Linked DNA regions of Bombyx mori. The protein of the gene in region 2 interacts with the protein of the main gene of each other region in a pairwise test. Links are inferred from orthologs where the notes say so. Each region holds a gene or a part of one and is shown on either strand. Other genes may lie near its edges. The genes, in order: protein SAND and vacuolar fusion protein CCZ1 homolog.

The links.
Region 1: the proteins of vacuolar fusion protein CCZ1 homolog (region 2) and protein SAND interact in a two-hybrid assay, tested with the Caenorhabditis elegans proteins (2 studies listed by BioGRID). The link is inferred for Bombyx mori from reciprocal best matches to the Caenorhabditis elegans genes ccz-1 and sand-1.

Annotation. Positions count from the first base shown.
Region 1 is NC_085134.1:3,992,303-3,996,574, reverse strand, and holds the start of protein SAND, read right to left. Parts: upstream 2,879-4,272; 5' UTR 2,635-2,878; coding exon 2,362-2,634; intron 1,978-2,361; coding exon 1,823-1,977; intron 1,446-1,822; coding exon 1,245-1,445; intron 936-1,244; coding exon 775-935; intron 1-774.
Region 2 is NC_085114.1:10,373,239-10,377,845, reverse strand, and holds the start of vacuolar fusion protein CCZ1 homolog, read right to left. Parts: upstream 2,883-4,607; 5' UTR 2,322-2,882; coding exon 2,250-2,321; intron 2,177-2,249; coding exon 2,079-2,176; intron 1,910-2,078; coding exon 1,819-1,909; intron 1,737-1,818; coding exon 1,674-1,736; intron 1,281-1,673; coding exon 1,155-1,280; intron 884-1,154; coding exon 711-883; intron 311-710; coding exon 36-310; intron 1-35. Other genes in the region: EF-hand domain-containing family member C2, read left to right, coding at 4,153-4,209.

The DNA.
Region 1 (4,272 bases), on a different chromosome or scaffold from region 2:
TTTTCTTACCCGGAGTCCGAAACACGGCGAGCAAGCCAGAGCCTTTAGCTTCGTTAATAATGCACCAAACAGTACTCACTGATGTTTTTGTTGCTTCCGAAGTCTGTTTTAATTTTTCCATATCATTCTTCCCCTGTTTTATGATGAAGCAATATACGTCGTACACAAATTTTCTACCCTTTCTTTTAAGTACTACACCAGTTTGTCACGGCATAGTGTATGTTTTATAAAAAATCAACAAACACTCAACAAATAGCAATGGCAACAAAGTCCACAAGCAATTATAACTAATAACTTAACGATTAATAACGATAGACTTTCCACTGTACGCAAGCGTACTTTTGGGAGCAAGCGGAACGAGGGCGCGGTGCGGGACGCAAGGTTCGACTGATCTACCAATAACGCGCTCGATACGATTTCCCCTGCCGTCGCGCCTCACCCTCACCACCAAAGTGATCTAAAATTCGGTTCTGCGCAGTCAAGGTCATTTGCTCACGAAGTTTGCCGATTACTATACCTCCCATCCATTTTTCTTTTTTTTTTCCCTACCTATGCTGATAGCCTTGAGAGGCTATTTCAGCTTCGCCCTAGCGTATGTAGGTGAGCTCACGGGGCTCAAGCCGGAGTGTTGCTAACACTGACTAGCAAGAACTAACTAGCAAGAGCAGTGCTTCGCAGAAGATCCGGCTAGAAACTCAGTGGGCTGTGTCTATGGGTCTATTTCTAGTGATTGTTTAACAATAACAGACTAACAATTACAATTTACTGTATTACCTAGTAAAAAGGCAGGATCTTTCTCCATAAACACAAGCAAATGATCAATCAATCTTTCAGCTCCGGCCAGTAGCCTTCTCAGATCATAGTTCCTTCGCTGCTCAAATATTCTATTCAGTTGGGTTAGTGTTAACAGCGAAACAATTTGATTGAATGCATATCTAGAAAGAAAAAAAAAGTATTTTTTAATTTCAAATATATATTTCAAGTGATCCTTTGATCTGCCCTAATGATATCTGACATGATTTGTCTATTTTTTTTGACATTCAATAAGTTACAGGTTGCATTTCTATTCATGTTTTCTAGTTTGAAGGCTGAACTGTCTATCAAAACTGGCATTTATTAAAAATATAACTGTCCACCAGCTGGTGATATTTATCAGAGGGATTATTAGCCCCGTACACTGTGATAAAAATATATTTTATCAAAATTTTTATTTATCTTGAAGATAAACTTTAATTTTCACTTACGTCAACTGCAAAACTAATTGGGTTTCACTTTCATTGGATTTCGAAACAGCAACCAGTATTAGGGGTCCCTTAACAAGGAATACTGCTTTACAATCTTTCGTGTTGATGAACCTCAATATATCCTGGTTCTGTTCTTCTATTACGCTGACAAGAGCTTGGATAACACCACACAGGCCAGCTAACTTGTCTTCGTTGCCATATCTAAAATCAAACTATGTTAGAAAAATTTTGAAATATTATCCAACAGCGGAATAACAGTAACACATCAGATTAAACTCAAACTTAAAAAAAAACCAATGGTTTGTGGTTTAAATGGGGAAAAAAAATATTCACTTATATTATTATATTAGAATTACATACCACATACAGAGCCTATATCGGTGAGTTCTCACATTCAAACTTAAGCTGCCACAAATCAATAGTGCATTCGAATTTGAAGGGTAGGACAGACTTATAGTTGTGATACTGACTTCACATCTCAGGCACATGACGGTATTCATATTGTGAGGTTGATAGACCCCAATAACCATTTAACAACAGATGGGCTATGAGCTCTACCCTCAAAGAATATCTCTTACCTTGAATAAATAGGTTTTCCTGCAGTGCTAAGTATGAACACATGTTTCTCTTTATTAACAAGTTCTGGTGACTGTAGATAGTCTTTATCATCATCTGTATCATCTCCATTCTCCTCAATTAAGTTCGAATTGCTGGCTGAAGCTGACATTGATCCCTGTAAGAATTTGTGAATATTAGTTTATACCTTTCTGAATGAGAGCCTCTAGCAGGCCAAGAAAAATGTTGACCCAAACTGACAAAATTCCTCATATTATGATACTTTTATTTAGGCATTCTAAATATGTAACTAATAAGATTTATGTTGTTTGGTTTTAAAAACATGTGTTGATGTTAGTTAATAGTGATAATAAAACTAATGTTTTGCTAACAATTCGAGGGTAAAATATTTATAGAAAATATTACTCTTTTTTAAATACTAATAAATTTCATAACATATTTAATTGATGATTATGTACTGGTAGTGATATAAAGACATGGCTGACAGTCTTAATTAAGTTTAGCAACTTACATAATTAGCTACTGTATCTATAAAACTTACATCTTTTGTTTGTAAATCATCACTTGATTTCGCTGCTTTCAGTTTAGGGTCTTCAGCAGTTTCCAAGATTTCACTTTGTATTTCACTTATAGTACTGCTCTTAGTAGTCAAGCAGGTCTCTCTTAGGCTGGAACTCATCTCCGATGCAAACTCTTCAAAGGAATCAGTGGGGTTTAGTATGCTATCATGACATGCACCCGGTTCAAGTTCATCAGAAGCATTTTCTGGAGCATTCATATGTTGAGGCACGTTATCATTGGATGTAGATGCCATGACGATACTTTTTCATTAATTTTAATATAACTATGTTAAGACAAAAAAAACGAATTTTTGTTTTTTGGTTTTTCTGTCACTTTATTTTGAATAACATTCCAGAACAATGATTATCGGTGTGAAGTTGTGAACGGGTATTTTGCATATTTTGACATTGATTTATTTGCCATCTCTGTTTTTCTAATGAGTTTCAGCTCTACTTTGCTCGAGAACTTCAACTGTCACGGCGAGATGTACAGATCTGTTTTAATCATGTTTTATTCATAGACCTATATAGTATACTTCATTGGTTTTATTGCAGTGACTGGAACATGAAGAAGGCGAGTTTATGTCATTTTGACAAATTAAGCAAAAGGGGTTATCTCATAATATTCTAGATTTTCTCATTAGTTACCAAATCAGTGTGTATAAAATTTTTATCTAGCAAATTAATAATATTTTAATCGACTAAAAATGGTGTAAATAACACATTGGTACCCATGAAAGTATATAAATGCTTGCTAAGAAAAACAACCATGTAACATAATTTTCATCGTCTGCATGTTATGTTATGCAAAGCTAAAATTATAAACGATGTCAATGTTTAATTTAAATAAAATAATCAGTGTGTGATTATAATAAAAATGTTTATCCTTTTTTTATTAGGAGTTTTAACTAGGAACATTTTCAATACAATTTGAATCAGAAACACAATGGGAGTCAACTTAGTACAGATACTTAGTTAATACTTGTACCTAAATGTAACGTTTAAAACGAAGCCTCAATTTTTTTCTATTAAGAACTAATAGATCATAAAGTATTTTTACTTTGTAAGTTTAATAAGTAATAACACTGGTCGACACAATATTGTGACATACTATAATGTAACATGTAGAAATGCTTACTAATTTTGACTTACCTACCTACTTTCACCTGAACATTGTATTATTTTTTGAAGATTGTAGTATTTTTTTTCCTAGCTTAGTGGTTCATAAATATGTACTATCAATCAACAAGTTTTGCCACATGCGTGGCAATCTTATTTTTAAAACCCAGCGAAGAAATTTCACATCATTAGTACCATCGAAAAATACGACAAAGCGTGGGTTCCACACTTGTTGTGTTTACTGGACGGGCAAGAAAATTTCGATCTATTCTTTTTGCAATTCATTTGATTTGGACAGAATGAACCGCTCATCTTATTGTCATTTTTGTCTTACATTATACAAAAGTCATTATAACTAATACACACAGTAAAATGAGGTATCCTCACTTGCCATCTGCTACCATACCAATCCACCATAGTGAATAATTAATTACCTATGCCAGAACCACTTCGAAGCTTCGATCTGTCCGCTGCGTCAGATGGAATCGAAAACGTCACTTTAGATCCCGATTTTCAAGAAGCTTCCTAATCTGTACACACGTACCTAGTCTTCATTCCCGCTATGAACCAAAGGGGAACGAACGGGTCTGACTGAAAATCAGCGCTGTTCGATTTATTGACCTCGAACAGCACTAGCGCCACCTCCTCATTGAGCCACCTCCTTTTGCCTTTTCCTTTTTTTTCTGTTATTTTATTCGTATTTTATTTTATATAATGTGAAAGGCAATAAATGATTTTATTAATATATTATTATTATTATTATAATCTAATGA
Region 2 (4,607 bases):
AATACTATTTCATCTATTATGTAATATTAACATACCATCAATAGTGAAACAGACAGTCGCACTCAATGTTCTGTATATGAGGAGGTAGTATTCCTTAAATTCTGTATCATCTTCGAGTGTTACGTGTATCTTTATCAATTTATCTAAGTCTTCTTTAACATGTATTCCATCTGGCGGACTTATGAATCGGCCAAGTCTCTGCGCTGCTGTCACTACACCACCTTGGATTTCTATTTCAACTTGTTTAGGGAGCAATGTCTGTACTAGATATTGGTATAATGTTAGCATGTCTTCTGTACACAGACCGTTCCTGTGGAAGGATACAGGTTACTTAAATTAACACCTTGATAGTTTTCAAATTAGGAAAAGAAAAAGTAAATATTATCTATCCACACTTTATCCCCATGGTAATCAGGGGTAAAAAATATCCATATCTTGTTATAATGCATAGGAAAAAAATGGAGGAAAGTTCAAACTAAAGCCAAATGGTATTAAGTAAAAAAAAATCTGAAGATGATCAGTGATTCTAAGTTATACTTGGTTTGTTACGTGATGCGTGACCTAGCTTAGGACTCACTTAGTGTTTAGTAGTTACCGGAGTCCATATACGTCCATGAGACTTGAGACCTAAGTCTCAGTACTCGGCAGGAATAGGTTTTCAAATGAAAGTTCCTAAAGATGAAGTTTACAAAAATATTTTATTTTCTTACCATAGAAGCTGATCATTGTAAAGAAACAATATACATTTAAAATCAGGATAAGTAACTTCCAGGTGATCTACGAAGCATACCACTTTAAAAAAAGAGTTTTTATCTAGAGGTAAATAATTTATGCCAGGAATAACATCTGATATGTCATTTGTTAGATGTCTGGATGATATATACTGAAAATAAAAATTTGGAAATGAAAAAAGTCAACTCGAATAAGAATGACTTAATCTGAGTGCCATTTATACTTATAATTAATTTTATTTGAACTTTTTTTTTTGTAATAGAATAATAATTAGAGTTTTAAGAACTGAAGGAATTATTGTTACTGTCAATAACAAAATTGAAATATAATTAATTAGTTTTATTATTTTTATTACTTATTCTGCCTACCTGGCTGGTAGCCTAAGAAGCTATTCCAGCTACGCTCGGACGGGTACTACTTACAGGCGTAAAGAACTGCTCACTTATACCATATAAATCATCAGCTGGAATATTTTTGAATGGGCCCCTGAACATTTTAAACATCTTATATGCAGATGTTAGGAGATTTTGCATTACAGTAGGATTGACCTAAAAAAAATCAAGGAATTTCATCATTTATTTCAGTTATTTAAATTGATGAATAGTTAGATAATTAACTTAATTAGTAATTCCCAAAATTATGAATGTGAATGAAGATGTGACAAATTTATTTAAAAAAAATCTTTTTGCTGTATGTTAAGGTAAGAATTTTATTATAAAGGTTTTATCTTTATCTCTGTGAAAAACAGTAAAGTAGAAATGTAATGGTAAGTACTAAGCTATATTTATGTCAAAGGCAGTAATGCCAAGGGCACATAACTCAATGCCTATTGGTAAATTGAAATACTTTAGTAACTTCATAGCTAACATTTAATTGTTACATTTACTGATTGCCTATCTATAGTGTTAAAATATATATTTTTTATTGTTTCGTTCACTTACTATATCTCCCTGACTTTCACCAACTGCTGACAATGCTTTGGTTGTATACGGTATTCGGACTACCTATAAATTAAAATTTCTATAAGAATCTCACATCTGTAAATTTGTGTTTTATGTATTATTAGAAAAATGTGTATCTACATACTAAAACCATCCAAAAGTTTTTTTCTGGTTGAAAAAATATGTATCTCTTAGATTGTGTTTGCAAAGCTTCACATGGTTCAGATGAAAACGTCCTGAAAATGTAATTAAAATAATATCTACATTTTCGTCAGTTTGATATCATCTAGTGCAATCAGTTTTTCTCTTAATTCTGAGGATCATGAACACTGCAACTGTATCGTCAATGGTTATTAAAGTAGGTGATATGTATATGATTATACCAATAAAAATGTGGTCACTTACGACATAAATTTGACAACGGCTTCACACAGCCCAACTTGCATTTTCCGGGCATCTGGACTGACTTCATTTGGATAAAAGTATAGTATTCTCTTTAATTCCTAAATTGAAAGAGAGATTTTAAAATTACTTGAAATTTGAACGGTATAATTACATGAAATCATTACAACTTACATCGCCCTCCTTAGGTCCAAAGGTAGGGTTAAAAACGAAGAAAAAGTTGATTTTAGATCTTAAGTCTATCATATTTAAAAAAATAATATCATTTAGTTTAACACAGCCGTCATAAAAAGATAATGTTGCAATGCAAAACTTGTTGTTTATTTATTGAATTTTGACAATTTACATTAATGAAATTGACATTGACTGATTGAAGGCTATGACATTTATTTTTTAAGAGATTTTATGACCTGGTAGCTAAGACTCTAAGTCATGTCTTATTTTAATTCATATTCTTATTTTTATGAAGAATGATGATATGGAGTGAAATGAAATGAAATGAAGATAATTTATTTGAGACATTAATCAACTGGGATGAAATAAAATAAAATGAGATGATATGGGATGAAATAATATAATCTCAGTAAAATGGTGGTCATTTACTGAGATTTTTTCACTAGACTTTTTGGAGGATCCCGAGAAGTTACGTCCAGTGGCTTTGTTACATTTTTTCACATTTTGCACTTTTTCAAATACTAAACAGTTAGTAAACCACCGTTATTACACAATTAAATCTTCAAAAACACTAAATAGATAAAATAAAACAAATCACACAACTTCACTCCTCGCGTTTCCGCCAAAAAGTCCAAGTCGCTGATATTGATCTGAAATCCACAGTTATAAATAATAAAGAAATATTTAGTTGATATGTAGCCCTTTCTTTATCTTAAGTACTTCAGTGTGGGTAATCTAATGCTACTGATATAGTGAGAAAAGATTGTCCTTCGTAATTTTTCGGAAAAGTTCGTATTTATCGTGCTCTCTCGAATAGCTTCAGTAGGTACCCATCTTAGAGCCGTAGGCGTAAGTCGCATCAGCAGACCAATATATATATAGAGTGGATAATATGTAATTCAAATATTCGCTATAGTTTTGATCATAATATTTTCAGATTACTTATAAAAAGGTTATATAGCCATGTCGGAACCTCGAAAACGGTTAAAAAATGCAGTCCAAGGAATTATATTCAATATTTACTTGTACTTCATATCGGAAAATAGCAAATTCAAAAATAGCATAGACAGCCCACTGAGTTCGCCGCATCTTCTCAGTGGGTCGCGTTTCCGATTCGGTGGTAGATTCTGTGAAGCACTGCTCTTGCTAGGGCCAGTGTTAGCAACACACCCGGTTGAGCCCCGTGAGCTCACCTACACGTCAAGGAGAAGCTGATATAGCTTCTCAAGGCTATTAGCATCATCATCATCATCATCATCATCAACAGCCCACAGTCGTCCACTGCTGGACATAGGCCTCTCCCAATCCACACCACTGAGCCCGGTCTGCGGCTCTCCTCATCCACTTCTTGCCGGCCACCGTGCGGAAGTCATCGCACCACCTAGCCAAGGGGCGTCCCACGTTACGTCTTCCGCTGCGCATTTATTATTATATTATTATTAGCATAGGTAGGAAAAAAATGTTTAATTTACTTGTCGAGCTCTTCGTCGCAAGCGACGAGTTCGGGGAGGACAGTGACCAGTGCTTGAGGTATCTAAAAGCACCGTTAATGGATCGGGAGGATCGGTAATGACGTTTAGGGCGACGTCAACTGTTTACCATTCGGTCCACCGGATCGGGTATGCTATGCACTGGTTCATTGCAATACGTAGCTAAAAGATTACCTATTACATAATATATGGATTTAATATTTCTCAGTTGCTTAGCAAAGATAATATTGATTCAAATTTTATGTTCATAGATAATACAGTTATTAAGCTTCACATACATCTATTGACGTTTAACATTTTGAATTCAGACATTTTACTTATTCCCAAGATTTTGATACATTAATAATTTTGCTTTAAAATAGGCCTTTAATTGTCTACTTTTTTAAATTATTTAAAGTTCAGTTATAGTTAAAATGGCTATTAGAAATCCCCGCCTTCCGCTGTTACCTGGCTATGGCACTAACCCGCTGGTAGGTAAAAATTTACTTGTAAATCGTATTAATTTCGATTTAGTCTAAGAATAACAAGAATCGTTAATTTTTAATTCATTTTATAATCGACCCTTATCATACAGTATTTTAGCTTTGCAATTTTTTATAAATTAGGTGTACGTAATGTGTCAACCTAAGATGAACTGCGGGACAGATATTGTTGAACATTCACTGACCCATGCAGACTTTTTAACTGCTATTCCGATGTTTTTTTTTTATAAAATATATACTTGCTTTATTCTTAAATCATTTAAATATTTCGAGCAGGGGTGACTTCCGAAAGTATCTTCTTTCCACCAATTTAATAATGGTTAATATTAATTTGGGCTATCATTTCATGTACATCCATAATTATTTTTCAACGTCGAACTTAACTT